Nothobranchius furzeri: one gene and its partner. The protein of the gene in region 2 interacts with the protein of the main gene of each other region in a biochemical or structural test. Links are inferred from orthologs where the notes say so. Each region holds a gene or a part of one and is shown on either strand. Other genes may lie near its edges. The genes, in order: egln1a and fkbp8.

Region 1 (15,527 bases), on a different chromosome or scaffold from region 2:
TTTTGGCCAGACAGCCACCATAGTTATTTACTCTGCAGTTTTTGATATATTATTGAAATAACAAAGACACAATTTCAGAGCTTAAATATCTAAAAGAAAAAAAACTAAAAAAAAAAAAAGGGATTAACATGAATTTAAAATGCAATTCAACCTTTTCCTTTATCTTTGAGCGTCACAGTAAACCCACATATTGATTGCTGTTGGGTTTTTTCATAACAATTAAAACAATAAGCAGGAAAAACGTGGAATGCAAGGTGCTGCCCTGGTCATGCTGGTCCTGTAGGCGGAAGGAAGAAACCGCTCACACGATCTATAAGCATAATGTTCAGGCACTTGAAGGACAGCCTCCACAGGACTTCCTCTCTGCTACAGACTCTGTGCTGCTTTAAGATTTAGGCCAACGGTCAACTTCCTCAGAAAAAAAAATCTCACGTGTGCACAGATCTGTAACGTTCCACACGACAGGACAACACACTAGTGACATTACGAAATATGATATCAACTACACCACTGGGGTTTCAACAAATGGTTTTGATTATTTAAATTGAGTCTGTTCTATCCAGCCTTAAATGGTACAACAACAACTTTTAACTAAACTATATTTAAAACGAAATTAAATCTAGCATGCATCAAACCATTTTGCGAATTCAGAATGTACGTCCTGCACTCTTCTCCTGATGCCGATCCTACCTGACCGCAGCAGTGCCCACATTTAAAGCTTTAATCTCCGAGCTGTGACAGCTGCTGCTTAACTGCAAATGAAATGTACACGAAGTTCCATAATGCTTCAAATAGCTTGCAAATGTTCTCAATTCCCACACACACGTGTCAGGGCTTGCTCTTGATGTTACAAGAGGGAATGGATTAACTCTTTCAATAAATCTGCTGTGGTCTCTAGTACGAACGAACGAGTCGTTTCCTGTGGAAAAAAGCTCCGGCGCTCCTATTTCAGGGGGTAAAAATTTTGTTGGAGAAGTGGGGGCAGAAAACAGCAGAATTCAGAGTCTTGCTCATTAATATTGATTGAATGCAAATGCCTTGCCTCTGATTGGCTAACAGCAGCACGACTCTTACGCTGCATTTCTTTGATTTTTCTTGGGTAAAAAACACAAGATTGATGTTTTATCTCCACAAATAACATAGGCGAGAATGTGCTCTTGATAACGGTTAGCTTCTAGCGGAGACATGCTCTGCCGCAAAATCAACAGCCTTCTGTGGTCGCAGGCCAAGGTGGGCGAGTGCATGAATGCAGATTTCATAATGTGAAGTAGAAAAGTGACCTTTTCTGACCAGTGCGTTTCCTCGTCATTCAGTGGCTAATGCACGCAATGGGGTTGGAGAACATTTTCATGTTCAGCATGCATGTGAAAGTAAACATGACTAAATCGGGTTTTAAATGAGCAAGTATCATGTGTTTCTTAGCAGGGGAATGCCTTGAAAGGCAGCTCTTGTGGTCTGCCTGTATCTGTTTTGATCTGTACGTTTTGTATTTGTAACCTTGGTCAGGCTGTGCTGCGGAGACAAGTTTCTATGGTTCAGGACGCTGGGGCACTGACAGTTAAGTTGATTCTAAAATATGGGGCCAATAGCTACCATTTATTTACATATTGGGATCAGCCAGTATGCTTCCCTAGTAAGAATATTTAAAGAGCAAGTCACCCCCAAATCACTTTTTTTTTTGCTGATAAACTATATAAAGGAGTGTCTAATCATGCTACAGACACGTGCAGTAGGGTTGTCACGATACTAAAATTTCAAACTCAATTCGATACTTGAAAAAAACCTCGATACTCGATTTCGATACTATTTAAAAACACCCATTAATCGAACAAGTTTATTCAAAAAATAACATTCCTCAATTTATATTGCAAAAATTAAATGTTAAGAATTAAGTGTATTAAGTGCTTAAACCTTTCAAGTATCAGCATTTTTTAAAACGTGCATACAAAAACTGGTGAAAGTTAACACTTTAAATCATGAATTGTCTCACTATATATACACTATTTGCAGAGTGATGTTTTGCTGCTTAAACTCTGCTTAAGGTGCATTTTTGTCATAAGATGTAATGCCATATGTTTTGTTCTGTACTTTTGAACAACTCTGTTGGTCAATAAAGGGAGAAAACTAATTTCTCCACAGTAGGACAAAGGTACATCTACCGGTAATCTTTATAAAAACAGACTGGCGCACGGCAGTGACCTCATTAAAAGCGCCGGTTAGATTAGCCGCGGCTAGTCTGTTCACACCTAGAAATCCCAGACCAGACCCGCTCCAAACGAACAGGGGAATCACGTTAATGATTCCTAACAAAACCTTTCGACATGAAGATGTTTTGGTGCAGATAATCTTATTTCGAGGCTGCACCATGGGCGCCCGTCCTCACCCGTTATATGGATATATACACTGATGGCGATTCGCCGATGGATCTAAATACCCCGGGGAATCCAAGTAGCACCAAAGTTGTCAGCGTGAGTAAACAAACGTACTGCATGCTAGAAATTAAGTCCGGATTCCAATAAACGGGAGTTTCCTTTAAGCACATAAGCGTGAATATACAACTACGTGTCGGACTTGGTATGCTAATTAAGTTGGGCTGTGACGCGCCTCCCAAATTCGCTGTTTATGTTTTTGTTTATTTATTAGGCAGATAAAACTTGGATTGGAGACAACTCGCGTGGGAAATTGCTATGTAGCCATGTGGCGTCTTCTTCTGTTTGTCTGGGAGGCGGAGGCTGCTTTACGGCATCTGGCCGTCGTGCGTGTCGTGTACTTGAAGAAGGCTGTGTATAATAGTCCATAATATCGATACCACAGGGATGGAATATCTAATTTAGATACCACTTTTAGTATCGATTTATATCTGGGTATCGATTTTTTTGACAACACTAACGTGTCGTCAATAATTTGGCAGTTCAGTGCATCTTGGTTAAAATTCAAATATTCTGCCTAAAACTGACAGTGTTGCGTCGTCGTTAGGGAAAAATTCTGCACTGTATTTGAATTTAAATCTGCCACCGCTATTGGCTAAGAGGTACGCTATGATGTCATCTGGTATATTATGATGTCATAATGCCATTGTGAGCCTGTGTGTGTGTGTGTATTTGTTAGCGGCTCCGCCCTCTCTGTCTGCCAAGCAACAGCATTTGTTGCATTTTTCAAACATGAAGTGGGAGTGAAGTACGTCTATTGTAGGGGGTGACTTGCTCTTTAAAGTTAGGAAAAGCCACGGACAACCCAGTGCTGCTGCAGGATTACATTTTCAGTTGGATGCCTGATTTTAGGGGAGTTTCAGCATTTTCAAAGAAATGAATGCACAACATGTCCCGTGAAAATAGTTGGGGTCGTAGACAAAACATGGAAGCTTCTCAAATCACTCCAGTGATTTTTTTTTGGGGGGGGGTTGTTCCCTGCATGTATCAATATAAACGGCTAATCTTTCGCTCCGGAAAATTACCGTTGCTGAACCAGGTCCTGAGGAACCTGACATCATAAAATCAGCAGTCTGGTTCAGTAAGTAGTGCAGTGCTTTTCCAATAGAACTTTATCTATTAGTGTTAACTAATTTAAGTGATGACTTCCTTTTAGACCACAAAATGCATCATATCACATGTCAAACCTACAAAACAACACACCTGCACTATACGAACACTGCCTCTTTAGTGTTAGAGCACTTATGCCACCTAGCTCCAGTATGCTAGCGCACGTAAACATTATTATTATTTCTAAAGTCCATGTCTCTGGAGAGATTAGAATGAACAGAGAAAGCATTCAGCTACTGGATCTGCAGAGTAACGAACACGCCTTGCTGCCTGCTGCTTTCCAGAAAGCTCTGAAGTGAGAGGGGGAAACAGAAACAACGGCTTTAAATAACTCTCCGGACAAATGTTTTCCTCCGTCTCTTCCAATATGAAATGTGCCGACATTGTGTTGCTTCTCTTTGGGTCATTGATATTCACGGCCCTCCAGCTTTGTGCAAGTCATGCTGGTCACAGTCCAGCTGTGTGCTTGCCAAGGCAACTGAGGCAGGCATGGCATGCGAGGAAGCTCTGGGTGTTTGACACAGGGGACAGCTGCACGGATCAACAACAAGAACTGAGATGATTCTGAGGAACGTTTCTCGTCCGGCCGTCAGACAGGGAAAAAAACCTGGATAGGAGAGGAGGGATTCATGGTTCCACACATGATAAAAAGCTGTGTTTCATAAGTGCAAATACAAAACAATAGTTTCCATTAAATCAAATTTTTGTTAAATAACCAATTCATTGTCCACGTAAAGGTTTAACCTTGAAAAAGAACCCAAGTTTAAATGTCAGTACATCGCGCACAAAATATTAGATAAAATAATGCCACCAAAATTACACTACCTAAAGGATTATTAGGAACACCATACTAATACGGTGTTTGACCCCCTTTCGCCTTCAGAACTGCATTAATTCTACGTGGCGTTGATTCAACAAGGTGCTGAAAGCGTTCTTTAGAAATGTCGGCCCACATTGACAGGATGGCATCTTGCAGCTGATGGAGATGTGTGGGATGTACACCCAGGGCACGAAGCTCCCGGACCACCACATCCCAAAGATGCTCCATCGGGTTGAGATCTGGTGACAGTGGGGGTTGTTGTAGTACAGAGAACTCATCGTCATGTTCAAGAAACCAGTTTGAAATGATTGGAGCTTTATGACATGGTGCATTATCCTGCTGGAAGTAGCCATCAGAGGATGGGTACATGGTGGTCATGAAGGGATGGACATGGTCAGAAACAATGACCCGTGGCATTGAAACGACGCCCAGTTGGCACTAAGGGGCCTAAAGTGTACCAAGAAAACATCCCCCACACCATGACACCACCACCACCAGCCTGCACAGTGGTAACAAGGCATGATGGATCCATTTTCTCATTCTGTTTACACCAAATTCTGGCTCTGTCTCAACAGAAATAGAGACTCATCAGACCAGGCAACATTTTTCCAGTCTTCAACTGTTGAATTTTGGTGAGCTGGTGCCAATCGTAGCCTCTTGTTCCTGTTTGTAGTGGAGACGAGTGGTACCCGGTGGGGTCTTCTGCTGTTGTAGCCCCTCCGCCTAAAGGTTGTGCGAGTTGTGGCTTCACAAATGCTTTGGTGCATTCCTCGGTTGTAACGAGTGGTTATTTCAGTCAAAGTTGCTCTTCTATCAGCTTGAATCAGTCGGCCCATTCTCCTCTGACCTCTAGCATCAACAAGGCATTTTAGCCCACAGGACTGCCGCATACTGGATGTTTTTCCCTTTTCACACCATTCTTTGTAAACCCTAGAAATGGTTGTGGGTGAAAATCCCAGTAACTGAACAGACAGGCCCGTCTGGCACCAACAACTGTGCTACGCTCAGAATAGCTTAAATCACCTTTCTTTCCTGTTCTGACATTCAGTTTGGAGTTCAGGAGATCGTCTTGCCCAGGACCACACCCCTAAATGCATTGAAGCAACTGCCTTGTGATTGGTTGATTACATAATTGCATTAAGGAGAAGTCGAACAGGTGTTCCTAATAATCCTTTAGGTGAGTGTATTTAAGTAACATCAAAAAACTCACTTGGATCTTAAGGAAGCCATTTGTGATGAGCTGTAATTAGAAGCTTTTATAAATTCTAGACCAGGTGTACTCTACTCTGTTCCTGGAGGGCCAGTATCCAGCACATTTTAGTGGTTTCTCTGCTCCTACACACTTGATTGAGTGATGCAGCTAGCTCATTAGACAATGCAGAAGTCTGTTGTTTACCTGCTGACTAAAATCAGGTGTGATGAAACAGGGTTCAAACTAGACATGCTGGACACCGGCCCTCCAGGCCCAGAGTTGAATACCCCTGTTCTAGACGGTCTTTGTAAATCATTTGACCACAAGAACAAATATAACTATTTTTTATCCTTACAGACTAAATAGCGTCAGTCATACACTGAGTGATTAGTCTGGGGGGGGGGGGGGGGGGGGATTAGGGTTTAGTCTATAATATGATATATGTGACTGAATTATTCTCACACTAAAATCTCCATGATTTAGATTTTAGAAATTAAAAAAGCCTATTTGTGTTATTGGACTGCACAATATGCAACAAAATCCACTCACTATATAAATAAAAAAATATGGTATTTGGGGCTTTTTGTGTGATAGCCGCCTGGAGGGGAGAAGGAAAAGGAAAAGGGCTGGAAGCAGCTCAATTCCTCCTGGGTTAGTCCATCACAACAAGGGTCAAAATGACCACATCTGGTTAAAAAAAGAGCTGCAGGTCACACGCAAGCCAGCAGCAAGGATGGAGCCAGGCTGACATGTAGCTTTTTTAAGTTTGGGCTAAAATGACTTGCTTTTTTTTTATTTTTTTTATACAGGGCTGGTGGTTTCTAATCGCTTTCATAATGTATGCTTACTCCAAAAACTACAAGTTCTCCTCGGTGACGCGTGTGTTGTTAGTGAACTGAAGTATTCAGCCAGCCACCTGGCCAGTGCTGCGTCACTCTGGGTCCCTGTTAATGATCCACATGTCTATCCGACTTCAGGGGGCTGTTTTCCAAATGGATCAACGTTCAGCATAGTCACTTGTGCTACTGTCCTAGAGACATAAAAATCTACTACATTTGCATGAATGGATCAGCGAATATTTGAAACTGATGATCTGGTGGAATTTTCTAGGCTACTTCTTCTTGTCTACTGAAAACATGCCCATCATGCTGTGATATGCAAATATTTTACTAAACAGCTCTTTTAACAGTCACAGTGGTTGTGCAAAAATAAAATTGTAGCCATTTGCATTGATCGTAAATGCTGCTTAAATAAGTTTCTTTGTGACGGACACAAGAAAAAGAAGTGAATTAAAACAAATACACAGTTATGTACATCATGGCCGATGACAGGGATGCTCGATTATATAAAAAAAAAATCACGGCTGTTTTGGTCAATATTGAGATCACAATTATGTACTTAATGAGTTGAACAAAACCAAGAACATTCTAACTCAGCACAGAAGGGGATTCGAACCTACAACCTCCTTACTGTGCCATAAACCGCTCCACCATAGTAAAATCGTGAAATAAAAATCATTATTGGCCTAACAGCAAGACAGACTGCCATAGATGTCATACCCATTTAGAAATATTTCAGTAACATCCTGATTTTTGCAGAAAGCAACAGGATGACTGTAAAAACCCGGCCTTCTGAGGAAAGAGACCAAAGAAAGCTATATTTGTGAGACATTAACTACATATTCATGCAGACATAGTTTAATTACCTTCTTGGGACAACTTTTTAAAACTTGACAAGATGCATGAGTTTAGGCTTTGTAAGGGACGGAAGAGACAAAAATAATCATTGATTTCCTTCATTACATTGTTTTTGTGACTGTTGGAATGAAAACACCGATCTGACAAATTGCACAGCCATAATTTAAGTTGTAATTGTAATTATGTTTAATGCAATAAGAAAATTTGGCTTTCTTTTGAATGATCCATGATATAAAAATGTGCTGTGTGCATGCAAACCTTGCATGCTGCTTTAATCCAATCAGGAGTTCATTAATTGCGTCTTACTTGTCCCTCGGTGGGAAAACTTAACATTCAGTACAGTTGAGTTCTTTTTTTAATAGCGCCTTTCATGCAAAGCTGTTGCCATTTGGATTAGTTTTACTCTGATATTTAAGAACGTGCACACTTTGATCTGACTTTATGCTAGCAAGCTTACTTGCCTCGTACATCTTGTTTTATTCTGCCAAAACACTTTTTAGATTGAGTCATTTTAAAAAGTTTAATTTAGATTGCTTAAAGCTGCACAGTGGGGAATCACAGTGGTCATGGTTGGCCTTCAGCAGCTTATTTCTGTTGGTGGGAGGCATTTCTGTGTTTTGCATCCATGTGCTGGGTGGAATAATCCACCTGACTCGGGGCATTAGCCATGCTTTCCCCTGGAGGCAGCTTACCTCCACTCATATGCATTTGCTGACTTAAAGTAGGTTTTATGTAGTGACTGATGTATTACTGAACAATAGGAGTTTCTCTGAGGGACAACACTTCTGATTGACAGTCTTCTACCTGGACATGCTGCAATACTTACCTTTGTCCTTCCATTTATAGTGTAGTTCCCCAGTTTGCCATTACAATGTCTGATTAGGTCGTCCATGCGACCCATGAGGAACTTGATCTTCTCGCAGCCGTCCTCTCCCCCCTCTATCCACGTGATTTTGTCCCCCCTGATGTCTTTAGGAGAGTCGCTCTTTTGACTGACCAGCTGTCCATCTGTGAATTTACCCTTTTTGTACAAGGCCTTGACATTCTCCAGAACGCTCAGCCCGGTCTTTTCTCCTAAAAAGTCGTTCACGACGCAGATGCCGTGCTTGTTCATGCACGGTACTATGATCTCCACGGCGAGTCTCTGAGGGGACAGGCTGGTTTGTCCGTTAGGTGTGGCGGGGCCGTTAGATCCCACCTCTCCCGCTCGATACCCGGCTGCAGGTGCTTCTGTGTCTGGGGCTGGTGGTGAAGACGGGGAGTTCGACTGATCGGGGACATTCTCCGTGCTGGTTTTATCCGGTCCCCCGTCCTCTCCCGACGGAGGAGTGTGTCCGGGTATCTGTTTGGAAATCAGGGACTTGTCCGCCACCTTACAAATGAGCTTGTGCTTCTTCCAGTCCTGTTTCTGGTGCTCCTTGCTACAGTAGAAGGAGCTTCGGCACCTTCCACACTTAAGGAGGTTCTCCATCTCCCCACAAAGTTCACAATACTGTCGGTCTCGGTCCAAATCGCTCTGCTGCTTTTCCATTACGAGAGCTGCAGCGGTTGTACTGCTCCTTTAATTTCGATCCTTCACACGCGCCCTGCTAACCGTCTACTTACTTTGGGGAAAGAGCCACTGCCTCTGTCTCGCTACGCCGAGCGAAACGGTCGAACTAAACTCAAACGCTCGCCATTTTGTCGGTCTTGTCCCGGTTCCGCATGTTCGAACGGTGAAGTAACGCCACAGTGTGCGCCCGTGGACAAGCATTCAGCCGCGGGTCGGCTCGAGGGCTTCGGGAGGCATTTCGACAGGCTAGCTGTCGGGATCGGTCTACTGCATGGCGCCGCTCTGTGTGCGTGCTGTTTGTCCGTGGCTCTCGTTGACGTCAGAGCTCAAACCCCGCCCCCGCGTTGCCTTCAGGAGTTGTGGGTCAAATGAAATACACACCAGGGCCGGGACACGTGGAGGGTATTTGACACATTTTGGTTCACTGCTGAAGTGAACTATTAAAATATATAAGTATCATTCCTTTTCGGACAGCATTCGTCTCTTTGCTATGACGTAACCGGCCTCGATGTGTACTCACAAGCTTCCTACCCTTGGATTCGGAAACATTACTTGAAATATAACAATTTATTCCTCATGAAGAAGGGTGGATTTCTGAAACACTGGAGAACCCCAGACATCGTATCTCCATGTATACACAGATGACCAACAGACTGAACATGAAACGCTTCAAAGTACAGAGAAAGCACGTTTGGAAGAAGAAGAAGAAAGTATCATTTCTATAGCGCCTCTCAAGATAAAAATCACGAGGCGCTTCACAAAAACAAAAAATAAAAAAATGTAAAAATATAAAAAAGCATTTAGAAAATGTTTAAAAATATATTTAAAATGAGCAAAAATAAGCCCATTCCTGCTACTCTGTTTAAAAAAAACAGATCTTATAATTATGAGATGCTATTGTGAGATACTATCTCATAATTTCTATTTCTGTGGCCGTTTCCAGGTTTCAGCCCTCCTCCACCTCCTTTGCCCATGGTGTCCCACAAGGCTCACATCCACATCCTGAGCTCTTTTAAAGGAATCTGCTGCCATCTTTTCGCAGATGACATTCAACTGTACATCTCCATATGGAAGCAGCAGCTGCTGCATGCTTTGTTAGTTAGACTTTGTTAGACTCAATGAAAAAATGTATGACTGGGAACTTTCTAGAGGTGAATGAAGACAAGACCGAGATCATACCTCTGTGCCCAGATAAACTTCTTCAGTGATGCTCTTGGTGAGCTTGCTTCTCACACCAAACCTGGTCAGGAATCTTGGTGTGACCTTTGACCCAGCTCTCACCGTGGTTTCTCATGTCAGTTCTCTTGTTCGCTCTTCCTTCTTCCATCTCAGAAACATTGCTAAGCCCATTCTGTCCTGATCTGATCTTGAGACTGTTCTCCTCACGCTTAATAATAATAATAATAATAATAATAATAATGCATTGAACTTATATAGCGCTTTTCTAGACACCCAAAGACGCTTTCACACACTGCTAGTGATGGTAAGCTACTTGTAGCCACAGCCGCCCTGGGGAGGCCTGACATTTGGCGCCGTCGGCCCCTCTGACCACCACTAACACAGGCAAGTTGGGTGAAGTGTCTTGCCCAAGGACACAACAGCAGGATACCCCTGGCGAGAGCTGGAATCGAGCCCATGACCCTCCGATCATGAGGCAACCCGCTCTACCACCTGAGCTACTGCTGCCCCAGCTTAGACTACTGTAACTCTCTTTTCACGTGTCTGAGCAGAACCTCCCTGAACCGTCTACAGGTGGTTCAGAACGCCTGTGCTCGGCTTCTGACCAAGTCCTCCAAACACACCCACATCACCCCGTTTCTCCTCCAGCTTCACTGGCTGCCAGTCAACTTCAGGGTTCATTTCAAGATCCTGGTTCTGGTCTATAGGGCCTTACATGGACAAGCACCATCTTACATTGGTGATCTTCTTAGTCCCTACACCCCCAGCAGGTCCCTGAGGTCCAGTGATCAAAGCCTACTGGTTGTGCAGCACCAGGCTAAAGGTCAACAGTGACAGATCATCTGCTGCTGTGGCCCCCAGACTCTGGACCTCTCTTCCCCTGAGCCTGAGATCAGTGGACTCAGTGGTCTCCTTTAAAGAGCAGCTGAAGACTCACTTGTTCAGGGTGGCTTTGGTGTGACCTCCTGCTCATCCTATTTTTCCTCATTAGCTCCTTTTCATGCAGTAGTGTTTGTCAAATCTGTATTTTTCAGGATTCAGTGATTACCTTTTTCTTTTTCATTTACATATTTCAGTCTTAATATTTCCTTTTCTTGATTTTTATCGTGAGAGGTGCTATATACAAGGTTGTTTCTTCTTGTTCTTCTTCTGCTTCTTCTGATAACAGCTTTAACCTGCAGTATCTGATTAGTGACAGGTTGCAGCCCTAATTGCACCCAACACCTACAGGCACTCTTTATTTCACGCTTGTTCAACTTCTTTTGCGTAACAAATAACTTGCCTTAAGAGGATGCTGTTCATTTAAAAGTCAGGGGTAGATTATATGGCTTCTGTGTCGTTGGACAACAACCTTTAGCTGTTGCTGGGGAGTTTTGCAGCCAGGAATAAAGCAGCTGAGGATCGGCACATCGAAATCTGGTGTTTCAGCTTGTCTTTCTGGAAGGTGACCCAGAAAAGACTGTGGAAAGGACATTATAGGTCTCCCTGCTAGGGCTGCTGTTTCTGCAACATATCCTGAAAAAAATGAGGAAAACAAGTCAGGATTAGACATTAGTTTAAGATTAAATTTATTTTCAGCAAAATATTTTTTTAACTCAGAATGCATGTTGTGCACCTGAATGGACATCTGACAAGCTTTGACTCATAATTTACAATGAATGAGTAAAACATGCTTAACAAATATAAGATTAATGTTGAAAAAGGTTTTAAAAAATATATATGTGTGTGTGTGCGTGTGTGCGTGCGTGCGTGTGTGTGTGTGTGTGTGTGCGTGCGTGCGTGTGTGCGTGTTTAAAATAGTTGCAAAACCACACATTCAAATACATTTATATGTATTTTGAGAGCAGCAGCAGCTCATCAGGTTGAGCGGGTTGTCCAGTAATCGGAAGGTTGCAGCTTCGATCCCGGCTCTGATCCCACCTTGCCTGCTGGTGGTGGTCGGAGGGACCGGTGGCGCCTGTGCTCGGCAGCCTCGCCTCCGTTAGTGCGCCCCAGGGCAGCTGTGGCTACATCGTAGCTCATCACCATCAGTGTGTGAATGTGTGTGTGAATGGATGAATGATACACTGCAGTGTAAAGCGCTTTGGAGTCATCACTCTGAGAGGCGCTGTACAAGTGGGGTCATTTATCATTTTAGTAATTTGACAACTCAATTGTCACAGTTCCTACATTTCCCATGATGCACTTCGCTGTGTTTCCGCTACGTCTTAACAGAAATAACTTTTCCCGCCGTTCGAAAAAAGGCACTTTTTGTAATTAAATTGTGTCTTTAAAATATGTGAAATTCATGGCACATATCAAACGGGATAAAAAAATCTTTAATCCTCTCATACATTTTTTTGAGTTGGGGGGATCCGTGGCCCGGAAGTAGATGGGCGTGACTTAGGTTTTCCTGTGTTACTACGGTTCACATGTATGCTTGTTGACAAAAATAAGAAATTTATTCTAGCGTGACATGATTCACAGACTTTAATTAATGATTTTGTTTGTTTCGCAACGTACGTTTTCTCTGAAAGAGTCGATAGTCATTGTCTTATAACCTCGATAACGCCAGAAACGTGGAATAAAGTGCGCGGAGACGAAGGCTAATATTTAACGTTCGTCTAGCTAGCTAGCTAGCCTAGCTTTAACTGAATTCACTAAAATATAACCTGCAACATTGAAGGCATGAATAAAAGGGAAGGTAAGCCTCGTATGTGAAACTAGAAATTATTACCTTTATTTTAGCTAGGTTTTGTGGGCTGCCACAGTCAGCAGCTTAAGATTATTAATTTCTTGTGGAAGTTATAAAATACATTTCCAGTTAGCTACTAGAGTAGCCTCGTCCTTCAGAACAACATGGCGACTGTTTTCTGATGATTAAAAATGTAATTGATTGGGAGTAAACATACTTGTAGTTTAGTTTGTGCAAAGAACAGGTTTATAGTTTTTTACTGTGTGTGTGTGTGTGTGTGTGTGTTCTAGAAATAGTAATTTTTCAGGTAATTTTATGCTTTTTTTTACAGTACTGCAAATATATCGTTTAGCATATCAGTGAAAGCAGTCTCAGTTACAACATCCTTTTATCAAAAAATTTATAAGCACTAAAATTAGATTTAGTTAACATTCTCAATAAATAAACCAGAAACGCAGTAGGAAGAATAAAAAGATTTTAGAGACAAAGCCAACTTTAAGCTCTAACCATGAGTACACAGAGACCATTGCAGTCTTTTGTGACCACACTGAAACTACTGATATTAGAGCAAAACACGACTCATAGCAGTGTTGCTTTGTTTATGTGGCAGAGACACCACATACTTAAACGCATATATTTAAATGAAAAGAACGAGTAAGAATATGTCATGGTGCAAACATTTTATGCAAGAAAATGACAACTTCACTATTGTGATGTATTTTTTCCTCCTTTATCATTATTACTGTAAAACCTGTTATTTAACCGTTCATTTATATTTGTAATTTGCTCATTAGATTTTATTTTTCCCTTCTGAATAAATAAATAAATAATAAATTAATTAATCAGTTATCAGAGATAGAATGAATTAATTAAATAAGCAAATAACTGTCAGTAAAAATTGGTCCAGAAATTCCTGCAAAATTGCTGCAGTTTCTCTTAGAGCCCACTTTAAATAAACTACAGAAAAAGAAGTGTTGTTGAATTCATACTGAATTATCACCTTTTAATAGTTCCAGGTGAAGTATGTTTAAGGAAAAAAGTTGATGCTGCACAGGAGATGAGCATCAACTCGACCTCGCCGGTCATCACAGCCTTCAGAGGTAACTAGCTGCACCCTAAAAGCTGACTTTGTGATTAATATATTCACTGCAAAAACAAACAACAACTCTATCCCTGTTTTTAAAGTTTTCCAGCAGGAGCTTGATGCAAAGCATGACAAATATGAGCGTCTCGTTAAGATCAGTCGAGATGTCACTATTGAAAGCAAGAGGACCATTTTTCTTTTGCACAGAGTGACCAAGTAAGTGACTTTCCAACTTCGATTTTATGCAGCCTTAGGTTAATTTATTGAAACAAAGGGAATACTTTTGGTCTTAAGTTTCTGGTAATAATTATCAACAGATAACCCAAGTTCATGCCTGTAAACATCTGCCCTTTATGACAAGAAATGTACCTAATAAGAAGGGTTGGGCATCGAGAATCGAGCATCGATTGGAACCGGTTCCAACTGTTCATTTTTCCTGGAATCGTTCAAAGTTTTTTATTTCGATTCCTAGGCCCTGTCCACACGTAGCCGGGGATCTGCCAAACCGTAGATATTTTTCTACGTTTTGGCCTGTCATCCACACGAAAACGGAGTTTTTTCACACGAAAACGGATCTTTTTAAAAACTCCGGCCAAAGTGAAGATCTGCGTTTTCTCCGTTTTGGGTGTCTGCGTGTGGACAGACAAAACCGGAGTTTTAAGGTCCGCAACGTCACTTTCCGCGACAAAAAATGCTGACATCACGTGTGCGACCTGTGTTTACACTAGCCGACAGCATGGATGCCCTCAGAGCTGCGCTCGCTTTATCAATCGTCCAAGCGCTTTTTGCTTGTTTCTTTTTGCAAGCGGAATTACTGCTCCTTGCGGAAGACCACAGACGAAGGACGAGGTTAAGAACGGGGGAAGTACTGCCGCCTACAGGTCTGGCATGTCCTTAACAACGTATTTATCCGGGTACGTGTGGACAGAGTTTTGTTTTTAAACGAGGTGGTGTGGATGCAAGTTTTTGGAGGGGCAGATATTCGTTTTTTAAAAACCTCGGCTACGTGTGGACTAGGCCCTAGTTTCGATTCCTAGAATGCCGACGGAAGAGGAATCCGCGGCCGATCTCCTTGAAAAATAAACGTGATCTGCAAATTGTGATCAACGCTTTCCAGAGCTGATCACATCAGCTGTCTGTGTGTGCAGCACGAGTCCCCCCTCCCCCCACCCGGCGCGCAGCGGCCAAATATAAACAAACGCGTCTGCCGAACCTTTACTCCATAATGTAAACTTTAACTCCTGCAGCGTAGAGGAAACTTGCTAAAAGATGTCAACACGGTGGATTTAATAGAAGCTTTAAAGAACAAACTCTGGACGGTGTGAGGTGATTTTGTCTCACTGCAGAAATAAAAACACACACGGAGCGTCAGCAGTCAGACGCAGCCGCTCACCAACACTCGTGTGTGTGTGTGTGTGTGCGCGCGCGCGTCAGAAGGCTGAATAATTAAAGTCATCATGCTAGAGCAGCTTCTCTGTGGTGGACCACACCAGCTTCTGCCACAATAACTTATAATAATAATAATAATAAATCACACACGAAGCTGTGAAATTTCCTTTCTGAACTGTTTCTGTTGAGTTTTAATGTTTAAACCTGTTAGCTTGTTACTGACAGCAGCTACGGTTAAGTTTCTGTTGTGACTGAAGCTGCTGCAGCATGGAGGTGCAGTTCTCAGTCATCCTGGACATGATCATCCTGAGAGTTTTAGCTGGAAACAGCTGCACGTTTCTGGATGTGTTGGAGACATTTAGCCTCTCATCCCAGAGGCTGCTTCCAGACTTTAGTTGTGG
Region 2 (15,680 bases):
AACAGAAACAGTCACCTGAAACTAAAGTGACGTTTGGAGTAAAATCTACTAACATGCATCTGTGAGCAGTGGAGTCTTCGCCCTGATGTTAATATGCACCAAAGTGGTGCATTTACCTTTACAAGAGTGTTTCTGTGGAAGCAACAAGACAGAAAGACAAAAACATTACAACCTATAGGGGGAGAGGAGAAACAAACATTTAGCATCACGATCCTACCAGAACTCGTTTGTCTTACTCTGCAGAGAAAGTCAAAGGCAGTTTAAACTGGAAATGTCAAGTCTGCATGTCGTTTAAGAAAAAAGTTAAACAAGCCAGATAAATAAATCTTTTCTGGCTCATTTGAGCTGAAGACAGAGGTATCAGCCCCTGCTTGGAGGAGAGAGATATAATGTGTCATCTTGTCATTTTCTGTGTCTGTCAAAGCCAAGCTAATTGGTTAGAAAAAGAGCATCTTTATTGGAACAAAAACACACACATTTATTTTAAGGCACCATAGAGCAGCGCTTTAAACTCAACCCCAAACTTTGTACAGGAATTAATAAAAAGTGTCATACCTTAAGTTATTAGAAATTACTATCTTACCTGCTGCAAATAACTTCAAATAAAATTAATCTTCCAAATTTCACAGCAATTCATGCAGCATTACTTAAAAAAACCTTTTACACCACCATTTCTCATGTTGTTTACGTAGACTTCTGTAACTCTATATAAACATAATTATCCGCAGCAGCCTTAAGACAGCACCTCTGGTGTCTCCAAGGGACAAGTTTGAACAATATATCCTATTAGTGCTGCTCACATAATTATTTAATGCAAAGCAGACATATAAAATAACCTAATTTTCATTAATCAATATTAAATTTTGAAGGTGGCGCTGATTTAAGATGTCAGTAATTCATCATTAACCTGTAAGGCCGGTATCTCAGGCAAAATACACTACTATAACAAAGACACAAACTATAAATTGGCCAATATGTCTTTGAAATGGCTCAAGACTTTGATAGCAACACAGGAAGTTAGCCAATGAGAAGGGATGATGAGAAGTGTCAGCTTCCCCTTCGACTCAAACCAGATAATCTGTAATCTAAAAAAAGGGGATGTTGGATTTTATTTTCTGCTCCAAGTTGAAGAACTTTTTCCTGCAGCTATTCTCTTCCAAATCTTTAGATCAAAACCACAACTAGAAATGTACTGGTTAATAAATTAAGCACTTCATTTATCAGACATCATTACAAATGGTCTTATAAAGTAGCACATGATACTACACTGCATGCGATGGCTGAAAAGCGGTGAACAGGTTGTGTGCTGTTTGACAGATTGGTGTAGGACTGAAGTAGGGAGTACTGGGCATAAGTACCAGGCTGCTGCAGCTGATCCAATAAGCCCATACAGTGGAACATGCTCCAGCGAGTGACCTTGTATAGCCAAAGCACCATATATACTCATCTGAACAGAAACAGTGACTAGGCATTAGATACGACTAGGGTGCAGGGCAGACCTATTTACAGCAGCAGCATGAAAACAGATCCTCTGAAATGATGAATCAGCAGAACTTGCTGCAAATGAATTCATCTTTACCCAATGGCCCCACCTACTGGTCAGAATGGGACAATCTGTTCAGCAAGACTAAACAATGTACACTCGCTAGTCACATCACACTATTGGGTACACCTGTCCAACTGTTCCTTAATGCAAATTACTAATCAGCCAATCACACGGTGGCAACTCAGTGCATTAAGGCATGTTGACATGGTCAAGACAATCCGCCGCAGTTCCAACTTCAGACTGTGGAAGAAAGGGGATTTAAGTTACTTTGAACACAGCATGGTTGTTGGTGCCAGACGGGCTGGTCTGAGTATTTCAGAAACTGCTGATCTTCTGGGATTGTCACACACAACCATCTCTAGGGTTTACAGAGAATGGTCTGTAAAAGGGAAAACATCCATTGAGCTGCAGTTCTGTGGGCGAAAATACCTTGTTGATGACAGAGGTCAGAGGAGAAAAGCCTGACTGGTTTGAGCTGATAGAAAGGCAACCGTAACTCAAACAACCACTCCTTACAACCACGGTATGCAGAAGAGCATCTCTGAACGCGCAACACATTGAACCTTGAGGCAGATGGACTACAGCAGCTGAAGACCACACCAGGAGCCACTCCTGTCAGCTAAGAACAGGAACCCGAGGCTCCAATTCACTCAGGCTCACCAAAGCTGGACAATAGAAGATTGAGAAATTGTTGCCTGGTTTGATGAGTCTCGATTTCTGCCACAACAGTGGGAAAGTAGGGATGCACCGATCAGGTTTTTTGCTGCCGATCACCGATACCGATATCAAAGAATGCTGATCACCGATACCGATCACCGATACCGATCACGTGGATTGGCCAAAAATTTTCTACAACATTATAATGAGTGCTACAAACTACATAATCTGGGAATAAAGGAAATGCAACCTAATCTAAAATGGTCTGTATTAGGGTTGTCACAGTGTGAAAATTTAACCTCACGGTTATTGTGACCAAAATTACCACGGTTTTCGGTATTATCGCGGTATTTTTTTTAAACGTGCTACATTTTCACACAATGCAATAAACCCTGTATGTCAGGAAATATTGTCTTCAGTTTGTGTCTAAATTTAGCCTAAAATGTGTTATTTTGTAATTATGTTGTTTATTTGTTTACATTTTTTCCCTTTAGTCTTTAAAATACCAATATTTGCCCATAACTTCTTATTTTATGTCTGTTTGATGTCATCATTTTAAAAATATTAGATCAGATGATACGCAGTACTCAAGTAGCCTTCTAATCAGATACTTTTTTACCCTTACTTGAGTAATCCGTATATCAGGAAATTATTGTCCTCGGTTTGTGTCCTTCCAGTGAGCTTTGCAGATGTGGGAAAATGTCATCAGGCAGTAATCGTTGTTAAATTCATAATTATTCTCGGAGAGAGACCAACTCTTATCTGCCCCTGGGAGCCCCGTAATGCATAGCGTCGTTTCAACATGGGGGTGTCCGCGACACGGTTTATATGCAGGTAGCGGCGCTGCGGCTGCTTTATATAGCGACTCGTTGCGTTCTCCCTCAACCCCAAATCCTCGGATCACGCATTTTAGCTAAAATGCTAACGTTAGCTTGCCTTGCGTTGAGGGTGATGGTCACGCAGATGTGTCATGACATTTGAAGCGTTGCTGCCTTTCACAGACAATTTTTCTGCACGTACTGCAAACAGGATAGCCGTCCATCTTCTATAAACTCCTTCGGCATTCAAATATCCAAAAATGCCCGTACTTCCGACTTTGTCTTCTTTGGGGGATAATAAATGTCCTCCTGAGCGCTGCCGTCTCCTCCTTAGGCCATTATTTCAGCTTTAGCTTCAAGAAAGTTTTGGTCGTAAACAACAAAGTGCGCATGTGCCGCCGGTCCTGCAACTTCAGCAGATGATACGGTGGCTGGTAAGGGTCACCGCGCCTACACCGCAGCCACGGTAACCCACCGAGATAATATAGTTTTTTTTAAAACAAGACGGTTATTATTATTGTCAACTTTTTCTACCGGGGTTTACACTGGTTACCGTGACAACCCTACCTGAGCGGTCTGCTTTGATCTATTTTGAAAAGTCCGATCAAAACCGATAGGGGCGCTATCGGCCGATTGGGATCAAATGCCGTTTCATCGGTACATCCCTATCGGAAAGTAGGATCAGAATTTCGCGTCAGCAACATGAAAGCATGGATCCATCCTGCCATGTATCAACGGTTCAGGTGGAGGTGGTGTAATGGTGTGGAGGACATTTTCTTGGCACACTTTGGGCCTCTTAGTACTAACTGATCATCGTTGCAATGCCACAGCCCACATGAGTACTGTTGCTGACCATGTCCATCCCTTTATGACCACAGTATACCCATCTTCCAGCAGGATAATGCACCATGTCATAAAGCTCCAATCATCTCAGACTGATTGTTTGAACATGACAATGATTTCACTGTACTTAAATGGCCTCCAGTCACCAATCTTAATCCAATAGAGCACCTTTGGGATGTGGAACAGGAGATTCGCATCATGGATGTGCAGCCGACAAATCTGCAGCAACTGTGTGATGCTGTCAGGTCAATATGGACCAAAACCTCTGAGGAATGTTTCCAGTACCTTGTTGAATCTATACCACGAAGGATTAAGGCAGTTCTGAAGGCAAAAGGGACCTGGTACTAGCAAGGTGTACACAATAAAGTGGCCAGTGAGTGTAGTTTACCAGACGTTTTATAAAAGGCCAAATGTACCTTGTTGCTTGGTTCCAGCTTCAGAGCCTTCCGTAAAGTTTGAATGGCTTCTGTGTATTCAGCCTGCAGAGCCAGAACCTAAAGCAGAAACACACAGCAGGCAACAGGTTAGAGGAGTCTGAGAAACACAACATGAAAGAATCAGAGCAAAGAGCACCTTGCCCATTCGAAAAAGTGCTTTAATATTCTCTGGTTGATGTTCAAGTGCTGAAACACAAGACTTCAGTGCTGCGTCATAGTGGTCCAGCTTCAGCTGAGAAGCAGCCATGTTGTTTAGACACTTTACTTTGACATCCAACAGCTCGTTCTCCTCCTCGGGGCTGATGTCAACTGCTCAAGGAAACATGATAAACAGTTAAGAGTCCTTATGTATCAAAATAAGAAAAATCAACTGTTAGTATCTTGTTAATATCTTTTCTTTTAGAAGGAAATATAAAGCTTTGCCTGACTCCTGCACATGCTTCTTACCTTTGGAACAAGAATCAGTAATCTGCAGGGCAACGCCATATGAGTTGACTGCAAAAGCATAATCCCCACGTTGGTAGTGAACATTCCCCCTCTCCCTCTTCTGAACAGCCAGGGCTATTTTCTCCGAGGGAGGAAGCAGCTCCAAGTCAGGTGCATCTGTAGCCTCCAACAGCTCCACCTCTAAGGAAAGCTCAGCATTTGGCGGAATGTCAGGATCAAGACTAGGAAGTGAAGGACGCAGGAGACAGAGTCAGGGACACCAGCCGTAGGAGACAGTTCACAGATATTACTGTCATGTTTCCTTCTTTTTCAGCAACCAAATGCAGGCACATTTACTGAGCACAGTGTTAGGAGGAGACACACTGGTAAATATAGCTTTAAAGGCATAGCTTCAGAGCAAATATGAACCGATATTGTTATTATCCACAGGCTTGATCTTCCTCACCACACCATTGTTTTAAGTGTTGGCTTAATAAAACTTCTAATCTTTGAAGAAACCACAAACATCCCAGACTCATTAAGCATTAATTCAACAATCAGCTGTCGGGGACAACTGTGAGCATCTCTCTCCTGCAATGTCCAATTCTTTAATATTTCCTCAAAACATCTCTGGTTTGAAAACTGTGACGTGAAAGTCATGTCTACATTTTGAACTAATAACACTAGATATAATGGCCCTAACGTGGCAGACTGTTCAGGAGCATTTCAAAATGTTTCCTACCTTCCTCGGACACCGTATGCGTATTTTGCATCTGTCTGGATGAGTGCTTTCTCTCCAATTTCCATAAGCTGCACTGTCAGATCCAGTGCCTAAATAGATTAAAGTGTTTTTTGCTTTAATGACTTACATGCAAATTTAACACACACACACACACATATATATATATATATATATATATATATATATATATATATATATATATATATATATATATTATTAAAAACCTATTCAACCAATCATCTGAGTTTTTCTTTTTCTTTACCTGGATGACATCACCATCTCCCAGAGTGAAAGCGAGATCACATAGCTCCTGTGCAAGTGTACCATCCATCAAGTGTGTTTTAAGATGGATCTTTACGACCTGTCCTTTGTGAGGCCGACTGTCACGTCCCTTCCCTGCTTCAAGGACCTTTTTCTTCAGCTGGTCGTTACCTAACAGCAGATAGATCTGTTTATAAAATTGGTTACATATAACGGAACCATTAAATGTTCATAACTATACAGTAATGGAATTCTAGCTTCTGCTGTGAATGCCACTAAATATTTGGAAAACATACAAACAACATACAAATGCAAACTATTAGCATGTTGTCTGTAAGAATGTGTCTGGTTTTGTCACATTTCCCTCATACCTAAAACATCTAGCCATTCATCAATGTTGCCAGAAGGTTCTGGATCTTCAACCCTTTTCTTTTCTGCATCTTCTGTTTTTTTACTGTTTCCACCCCCGGCATCTTCCAGAGGAGGAAGGTCGTCATAAATGTCTTCATCACACAACACCTCAAAGTCCTCCCCGCTGTCCAGCAACGAGGTTTGTCCATGCTTCTTAGCAGCAGGAGGTCCAGCTGAAGACTCCATTCTCAAACGTGTTCAGTCCTCAGCACATCACCTGATTAAGGAAAACAGAAAACAGCTTGAAGTGATTCACTTTCTGTGAAAAGTAAAACTGTGTATGTGCTGAATCCTAGTGAGGAAAAAAAGCCTTCAACTATGTGCAAGTCGACGTTAAACACTGTGATAGGTCACATGATGATAGCTACACAACTGTTTACCCAACACCTCCTTTAACGTCTATTTATTATTTTTAATTTTAGCAAACAATGTGGCAACATTTCGCAAATTTAATTATTACGCTACCTGTTAACTGTTGTGCCCTGACAAATCTAGCAAGAAGTTTTAACAAGTTTTCCTCCAGCTAAATGCCCAAGCGGCTAGCATGCTACTGCTAATGCAAGTAGCATTAGCCGGTTAAGCAATACAGGTACTAAACGATAATAACGAGTTTTTACTCTATTATACGATAAACCATTGGGTTTATCACGTCAATGCAGTGAGAGTGGGTCAAAGTGTATATGCGTTAATCGAAATAAAGTACAACAAACCTCCAAGTGGGCTTGTTTCGGTCCTGAGCTGTCCCTTCGTTAAACTCAAAGTGAAGTCAGTTCAACGTTGTACTGATGTGTCGGTAGTGAACGAACTGGCTCTAAGAGCCGGCTCTTTGAAGTGAACGACGGGAGCCGGCTCGTCATTGGGAGCCGTCCCCTCCCCTTTTGCTTTGGTGAACGCCACAGGCAATTGGTCAACATGTGTAACTGCGTGTCCAGACTGTCCACACACAGAGCAGTAGGGGCGGGGAAGAGGGAGGATCAGACTCAGACACACAGCAGAGCACATGCGGGTGGAGGGAGACGAGAGGGAATGAGGAGGAGGAAAAAGGCGAGAGAGAGAGAGAGAGAGAGAGAGAGAGAGAGAGAGAGAGAGAGAGAGAGAGAGAGAGAGAGAGAGAGAGAGAGAGAGAGAGAGAGAGAGAGAGAGAGAGAGTGCGGCAAAGACGGTGAGAAAATGAGCGCCAGCAGTCAGAAAGTGGAGATTTCTTAAAGTGTTCAGTTATTAAATCCATTCAAATGATAAATAGTTTATATATTGCAATTTTTTACATTAGTAAATCATGTTACATATATTTTAGCATTTTTTTTGGTTATAAATATACTCTACGCAACAGAAAATGTGAGGAGCCACTTGGGAGCCGAAAGAGCCGGCTCTTTTTGGTGAGCTGAGCCAAAAAGACCGGCTCTCTAAAAAGAGCCGGAATTCCCATCACGTCGTTGTGAGGCGGAGGACCCAAAAAATAAAAAAAAAGTACGCGTGTTGATATGTTCAGCAGCAAGCGAACTTCAGCCCTGTGCTTCCTGTTAACCTTGAGCTCCCCCTTGGTGCAAGTTAATATTTTACCTCACTAACATGGAAACGACAGCAGTTTGGAGTTTCTAGTAATTTTCCTTAATTAAAAAGGTAAAAGTAGATAATAATAATAATAATAATAATAATAATAATAATAATAATAATAATAATAATAATAATAATAATAATAATAATAATTAGAAGAAGAAGAAAAAGAAGAAGAAGAATAGATGACTGAATTTTTGTTATTTGTAAAGGGACATTGCATACTAATGAACATTTACATATTTCATGTAGGTAAATATGCATTATTTTAGCCCGGGTTAATTTCCAGCAGTAAATGTTAAATAAATGTAACATTATTTTGTCCAATTTGATTATGTTAATAAAATATTCTCAAAGCATATGGACACGTTTTTAATCATGCTCTGCAACATGAAATTTCAAAACCCGCGTCAACGCCAAAATCCCAATTGCCTTTCTCTATAGTTGAAAACATTTGACAGCGTGAACTGAATCTTTGGCTTCTATTAGTTTCACCTTTAGGCTGCCACATGTTTCAGTAAACTTAAAAGAAAGATTGTAGCCACTTCTAAAATATTTTAAAATAATTTATGCATGGATTTATTAGGTTGACATAACATTATTTATGGTATTTGTGCTTCTGGGTCAGTTTCTTCTGAAACCCTCCAAAATTGCATTAAAGGATTACACAGGTTTTTAAAAGACATTCAGTGCCTTTTTTACTGAAGCAGGACAACCATGTTTTTCTATAGTAGTAGTAGGTTGATTTATGAGCATGTGCTTTTTTCCACCTGTCTACAAAATCACGCTTCATTTCTGTAGAATAATTGTTGGACAGTAATAATTAGAAAAACAATCAGCTACACATCATATAGTGAAACCATTTTTTTTTGCAAATATAAGCAATATTAATGCTTACCTTTTAGGTATGTTTATAAAATTCAGGAAATTTCATGGTTTCACTTAAATATTTACTAGTTGGGTGCAGTCCTGATTCTGTAATTATTTAGTGTTAAAGCAACATCTCTGACCTTTTGTTTATCGTGTGGAAAATTACAATTTGAAATATTCACATATATTTATTATTATTTTCCAAAAACCCATTACTTTAGATATTTTCAAACAGCAAACTTAATGACACATAGACCTGTCATAAATAGCAGATTTAAAAAGGTACAAATATATCCAATTTGCTTACATTTGCATTTTTTTAAATCATGTCTACACTTGTGATTATTTGGTTTTCATCAAATGTTTTCTTCCAGAATAGTACCTTGTCATCAGTTCCGGCATCAATTCCCACCTTTCTTGCTGTGAGGAAAACAAAGAAATTCAAACAAGAGGGAAAAAAAAAATCAAATGACATTTATTATTGATGCATCGTTTCTTTTTTATAAGCAAATTGTCTGTTTTTCTTTCAGTCTAAAAGAACTTTACAATAAAAAGAAACATACAAAGAACATCTTTATTACCTACACAAGACAGCTAAATCCCTAAGACAAGATTCTCGACTATCCTACCATGAGATACAAAGCAAACCCAAGAGACAGACTGCTTCATATTGAATACTGCCGTGTCATTAGAGGACTGTGATTGGAGAATCCTTTATATCCCCATCCTTTAAACCCCCCTCCCCCCAAGCAAAATGACCACAACCCCCCGCCCCCTCCGACCAGCAAATCTTCCTAATGGTACAGTATTATACATCACAATAGAAGTACAGAGATGGCCAACGATCAATATACACAGAGGACTGAGAGAGGATCAGTGAGAGAGCTTCAAACTATACAATGCTATCACGCACGTGAATAGTTTTTCCTCGTAAGTTTTAGATTTTGATCTCTTTAATTTAAAATGTTTCCTTTTTTTTCCATTTTTAAAAGTTTTCGTTAATCAATAGAAATCCTTCATATGAAAAACTGCAACCTGAGGTCACATGCACTATTTTTTTGAGAGAAGATGCCCTTTGGAAAACCTATTCACATGATTCTTTAAAAAAAACGTTTTCAAAACCAAACAGCAACATTTGACTGAATCGAGTCAAGGGCAGAGCGAGGACGCCGCAGCAGCGCGTTTGCTTCTCTCTGGCCCATCCTCCCCCCGACACACACGAGCCTTTAGCATACAGTCCGTGTGTCATTTTATACATTTAGTCACTTTACAGTATTCTATAAATTTAGCCACACAAGCCTTTCTCACATCCTTTCTCTATGAAAAAAGAAAACATGAACAGTTTTATTTATAATTTACTTTCAGCTGTATTCATTGGTAGTGACTGACATATCAAAACATGTCAATGATATCAAAATGCATTATACAGTATTTACAAGAAAACAAGAGAGAGAAAATGAAAGGGTGGGAGGGAGGGAGGGCGGTGTGTCACTGCTTCTAAGGAACGCTGGACAGAGAGAGATTTCCAAGCCACTGATGGCCAAATCTTGGAGATACCCCAACTGATATCTGGGCACTATCTGTTCACAGTCGTATCAGTAAATCATAAGAAGTCTCCGACAGAGGTTGCAGTGGTTCTTTAGTTATTGTTAGTGGATAGATCGAAGGAGGCAGAATCGTTGAATCAGACTGACTGTGTCACCACACTTTTGTTTTTGAGTAGATTATTGGGGCTTTAACTTCAGCTGAATACATCAGAAATAAAAATAAATGTTGAAAACAATCTACAAATGGTTCCTTCTCTTTAGACGAGCTCAAGATGAATCACATCACACAAACCCATGAGTCCATTACCCTATTTAAAGGGGCTTTCCTAGAAAAACAACGTCGTTTTGCAGAGACTGTGCCGGTTTCGTTTGAAAGTTGATCAACAGAATCTGTGACATCACTTGGGCGTCATGAACCAGAATGGGAAGAGCATTTCTGGTTTCACAGACACCTTGTAAATAACAAATAAAAACAATCGAATTTTGTTGTTTTTACAGACAAGAACAAGACTACAGAGGAGACAAGAAGATGCAGAAAATCCTCCATCGTGGTCTGTTTCTGAATACGAAGCAGCTCCTCTCCTGACAGTTGGCTCATCGTGTCGACAGAACAGAAACAGACAGCTGTATTTGGGTTTACAAAAGACAAGACAGACAAACAGCTGATCATCCATGTGCATCAACAGTCAATCTGTATCAGAAAACAGCAATGCTCAGATCAGGCCTCATTAGAAATCTTTCCTGTGAAAGTCTAGGAGAAAGATCCAGGAGGCAAAGACAAAGTTGCAATGCATTTTTGTGCAGAGGTGTCTGAAACAAATCTGTAAGTCTAAAGAAAACAGTCAGAAAATCAATCATTCATCCAATGTGTGCTTGCTGCTGCAGAGATAAAACACAAGAATAGCATCGGCTATGCAAATTAGAACAATATCAACTCAAAAAATGCATGAAATCATTCTAGCCCTAAAAGATCATCACAAGTTCATGTTTTAGTAATCAGTCCAGAGCATCTGAATGAGGGTTTTCTGTCCCAAAACAGTGCTAAATGAACAGAGTAGTCCTGATAATGCCCGAATGCCACCCACAAGAGCAGGTTTGGTTTTTGTCAGAGATGCAGACTCGATGCAGGTTCAGGCTCTGGGGCCCTTGACGGATCCTAGCAGGAGAGAAGAAGAAGTTGTAGTGAGGAGCTCCTTCCTGCTGTTCCAAGACCATTTCATGCTCTGACGCCCATTTTACAGGCAGCAGGATGTTGAGTCTTCAGGGAAGTCCTGCTCTCCAGGGCAATCCCCAGGAGCTGTGTGGCACACCATCCACGATGATAAAGGAGAAGGAGGACGAGGAAGGTGATGCAAGACACAGCAGGGTGGTCGGGAGGGGGATTCAGATAAAAGGAAATGAAAAAGGTGAATAAAAAAAAATCACACACTCATCGTCATGTTGGGTGAATACTGTAAAACAGAGACAAGAGAGGAGAGACTTGTTTATTAACATTACAGTTCACGCTGGTCTCACATTAAGAATAAGAATTTGACGCTGATGTTTCGTTCATTAATATGTGCGTCTGAACAGCCTGCAGGCGTGTGAATGAGTTCAGTAAATTTAGGGAAAATTAAAGGTTTTTGGAGACAAACGTTTCCATCTGTCCTGGTTTAAATTGTGACTTTTTGTGTTTTAAAAAACAGATCTTATAACTCTGATATCTCTGATCGAAAATTGTAATTTTGAGTCAGGCTAAAGGAATGTTCAGAAATAAAGAGCCAATCCAACATTAAAGAGCAAGTCACTCCAAATCAACATTTTTTGCTGATAAACTATATAAATGAGTGTCTGATTGTGCTGCAGACAAATGTAGTCAATAACTCGGCACTAGTCTTAGTTAAAATTTAAATATTCTGCCTAAAACTGTCAGCGATGCACCGTCGTCAGGCAAAAACTCTGCACTGCATTTGAAATTAAATCTTCCGTCGCTATTGGCTAAGAGGTACACTATGATGTTAGATAGTACATTATGATGTCACAATGTCGTGAGTGTGTGTATTTGTTAGCAGCTCCGCCATCTCGTTCTACTAAGCAACAGCATTTGTTGCATTTTTCAAACAGGAAGTGGGAGTTGAGTAAGAATCTGGCAGGGGGTGACTTGCTCTTTAAACATTTTGCACACATATCAAACTGGGTTCCCATGGTAACAGTCAAATCATCTTTCAGCTAAAGGGGAAAAAAACATCAAATGAATACAATCTGCTAATTGTGGTTTGTTTTACTATAAACTGGTCAAATAAAATATGTTTCTGCTTTAAAATCAGATTTAATACTCTCAGCAGTGCCTACATGCCCATGGCACATGGCTAACTGAGTAGTAGACGCTCTCCGGTGCACGGCTTGGGTTTTAACTTTCTCGTACTCACACTTTCACTTTGGAATGGGTTTAAAAAGTTGCCTGCCATCTCTCCGTCATCCCGCGGGGTGCCGGGAGGATTGTTCATGCCCGCCATATTGTTGGGAGAATTCTGCAATCCGGATGAAAAAAAAAAGTACAATGATTAAAAAAGTAGAAAAAAACTGATCTGGATGACATATTCAGAAAACTCGTCTGACTTACCTTTGGCAACCCATCCATGTCACCAGAACCTGTGATCAGAAATGGAATGAGAAAGAAAGCCATCACCATTAACTGATCACCATCCAGGATCTCCTGCAGAAGGAGCATCTACTCCCCTCCTCACAAGTAATGGCCTCTAATTAAGCTATTTGTTTCAGATACAGATGAGCAAGAACCTCACTGGCTTTGCTGATCACATCACACCCACAGGATCAATTGGCCTTCTTACCGCCCCACTAATCTGTTTTAGCTCTGATCAATACAAAGCTGAAAGACAACACTTCCTGTCTCAGCCATAAGAGGGCAGAGTCCTTCCTTTAAAGACCTCTGACCAAAAACCAAAACAAGAAATAAACTCAGCAGACCTGTTACGTAGGCCGCGACCCACCTAGTGATCCGTTCATATGATGCTGCTCCATAGCTCCCATTCCACCCATGGGTCCATCTGGACCTGGTCCCATTGGGAACTAAAGACAAAAAGAGTCAAATCACTATTTGTTCTTTATGCATCCAAGTTGAATAAATCCGTTTTGCTCAAACGTCTCAAAAAGATCAACCGCATATATTAAAATGAACTTTGATTAATCATTGAAATAAAAAGGACCTCACTTACGCTAGGTCTGTTTCCACCGGGACCGATGGGATTCATCATTGTGTAAATGTTTTCACTGGAATTTGTAGAATCTGTAGAAATAAAATGATTGAAAATGTTTCAAGTGAGAAAACTGTAAAGCTTTAATTAGACATGAAGGTACCAGCAGATAAAATCTGTCAGTTTTCAGCGCAAACATGCAAATATTTAGAAAATAAATCTTCTAAAGTAAGTCAAACTTAAGGAAACAGGAACAAATGATCCCGAGTCTTGGCCCTGTCATTCGACATATTTGATGCTATTATTATAATAAATATTCCAACAGTAGAGTATATTCTGTAACAGCACGGGATCACACATGTCAGCTCCCTGTGTCTCACAATGAAATTAAACCCATCGTTCCTTATTCCTGTCATGAGGAAATTAGATACGGAAACCGTGGCAATGGAGCAACACCCAGAACATGCTGCGTCACACCTTGTGAGCCTGTCTGTCTGTCCTGCAAAAATCCAGAGGGATAAGGTGACCTTGCTCTGGCACTGCAGGTGGCCGATAAGGAAAAATAAAACAAAGACTAGAAAACCGAAGAAACCTCATCTTCTGGTGTCCTTGAATGTGTCTTGTGGTGTTGTGACTGCGTAGGGAGGCACATGAGAGGTGTGCATATATGAGCGAGGTTTGTGCGCATATCAGGTGTGAGCGCACACGCCTGGCAACCACGGCGGAAACATGTTTTCCCTGCTGATTTGTGTGTGTGTGTGTATGAGCAGTGCTGTGAAAAGGTTGCCCCGCAACGTATCACAACAGAGGCACGTATATAAATAATAAATGGGCAGACATAAAAAGAAACCCTCTACAGGCCAACAGGAACAGGGTATTTACAGGGTATCAGCCTTTTAGTGTTCCGTTTTCAGTCCTCCACCGAGACGCTTTATTAATGGGTTGAAGCTGGGTAGAATCAGACTACTACACACCTCAACAGGAGGCAGTTCTGTGCAAAAGTTTAAAACCAGCCATCATTTGTTTGTGTTCCCCTCCCCCAAGGTTGCCAGACATTCCAGTAATCTTTAAAAATGATCCCAATAAATAATAATTCAGGCTCTTTGAAGATGTTTCAAAGATTTCCTTAGGACCTCGGCTTCTTTTATACTCAATTTCAGTTCAGGTTTTCGTCCTGACCTTGACTGCAGATTCTACAAATTTTTCTTATATGGAGAAAAATGGATATGTGGAGCTCGAAAAGGGAAGTGCGGGGCTTAAAATCTTTTTATAGCATCCATCCATCCCTTTTCAGCCACTTATCCAGAGTCGGGTCGCGGGGCCAGAAGCCTGAGTCGGGATGCCCAGACTTCCCTCTCCCCAGCCACTTGAGCCTGCTCTTCTGGGAGAATCCCAAGGCGTTCCCTGACCAGGTGAGAGACATAGTCCCTCCAGCGTGTCCTGGGTGTTCCCTTCGGTCTCCTTCCAGTTAGACGTGCCCGGAAAACCTCACCAGGGAGGCGTCCAGGAGGCATCCTGACCAGATGCCCAAGCCACCTCAATTTTTTTCTTCTTGACATGGAGGAGCAGCGGGTCTACTCCGAGCCCCTCCCGAATGACCAAGCTTCTCACCCTATCTCTAAGGATAGATGCCCTGCAGAGAAAACGAATTTTGGCCGCTTGTATCTGCGATCTCGTTCTTTCGGTCACTACCCAAAGCTCGTGACCATAGGTGAGGGTAGGAACGTAGATCGACCGGTAAATCGAGACCTTTGCCTTCCGGCTCATCTCTCTCTTCACCACGACAGACCGGTACATCGCCTGCATCACTACAGGCACAGCACCAATCCACCTATCGATCTCACGCTCCATCTTTCCCTCACTCGTGAACAAGACCCCGAGATACTTAAACTCCTCCACTTGGGACAGGACCTCATCCCTGACCTGGAGAAGGCATTCTTCCCATTTCTGAATCAAGATCATGGTCTCGGATTTAGAGGAGCTGATTCTCATCCCAGCCACTTCACACTCAGCTAAGAACCGCTCCAGCAAAAGGTGGAGATCACGTTCTGATGAAGCCAACAGGACCACATCATCTGCAAATGCAGAGACCTGATCCTCAGGCCACCAAAACAGATCCCCTCAACACATTGGCTGTACCTAGAAATTGTGTCCATAAAGGTTATGAACAGAAATGGTGACAAAGGGCAGCCTTGGCAGAGTCCAACTCTCACTGGGAACGAGCTCGACTTACTGCCGGTGATGGACCAAGCTCTGACGCCTGGTACCCCATACTCCTGGAGTACCCCCACCCCCACCTCCCACAGGGTCCCCTGGGGGATGCAGCCGACAGCCTTCTCCAAATCCACAAAACATATGTAAGTTGGTTGGGCAA

The links.
Region 1: the proteins of fkbp8 (region 2) and egln1a form a complex in vitro, tested with the Homo sapiens proteins (2 studies listed by BioGRID, with this or other methods). The link is inferred for Nothobranchius furzeri from reciprocal best matches to the Homo sapiens genes FKBP8 and EGLN1.

The regions. Positions count from the first base shown.
Region 1 is NC_091752.1:2,289,606-2,305,132, forward strand, and holds the start of egln1a (egl nine homolog 1), read right to left. Parts: upstream 9,227-15,527; 5' UTR 8,780-9,226; coding exon 8,075-8,779; intron 1-8,074. Other genes in the region: tsnax (translin-associated protein X), read left to right, coding at 12,647-12,662, 13,664-13,753, 13,839-13,953. UniProt on the Homo sapiens protein: Cellular oxygen sensor that catalyzes, under normoxic conditions, the post-translational formation of 4-hydroxyproline in hypoxia-inducible factor (HIF) alpha proteins.
Region 2 is NC_091748.1:52,423,118-52,438,797, forward strand, and holds the start of fkbp8 (peptidyl-prolyl cis-trans isomerase FKBP8), read right to left. Parts: upstream 6,984-15,680; 5' UTR 6,852-6,983; intron 6,359-6,851; 5' UTR 6,328-6,358; coding exon 6,102-6,327; intron 5,902-6,101; coding exon 5,732-5,901; intron 5,559-5,731; coding exon 5,470-5,558; intron 4,970-5,469; coding exon 4,749-4,969; intron 4,611-4,748; coding exon 4,438-4,610; intron 4,359-4,437; coding exon 4,281-4,358; intron 133-4,280; coding exon of another isoform or gene 49-132; exon of another isoform or gene 1-48. Other genes in the region: ssbp4 (single-stranded DNA-binding protein 4), read right to left, coding at 11,329-11,409, 12,521-12,622, 12,715-12,743, 13,103-13,181, 13,328-13,398. UniProt on the Homo sapiens protein: Constitutively inactive PPiase, which becomes active when bound to calmodulin and calcium. Seems to act as a chaperone for BCL2, targets it to the mitochondria and modulates its phosphorylation state.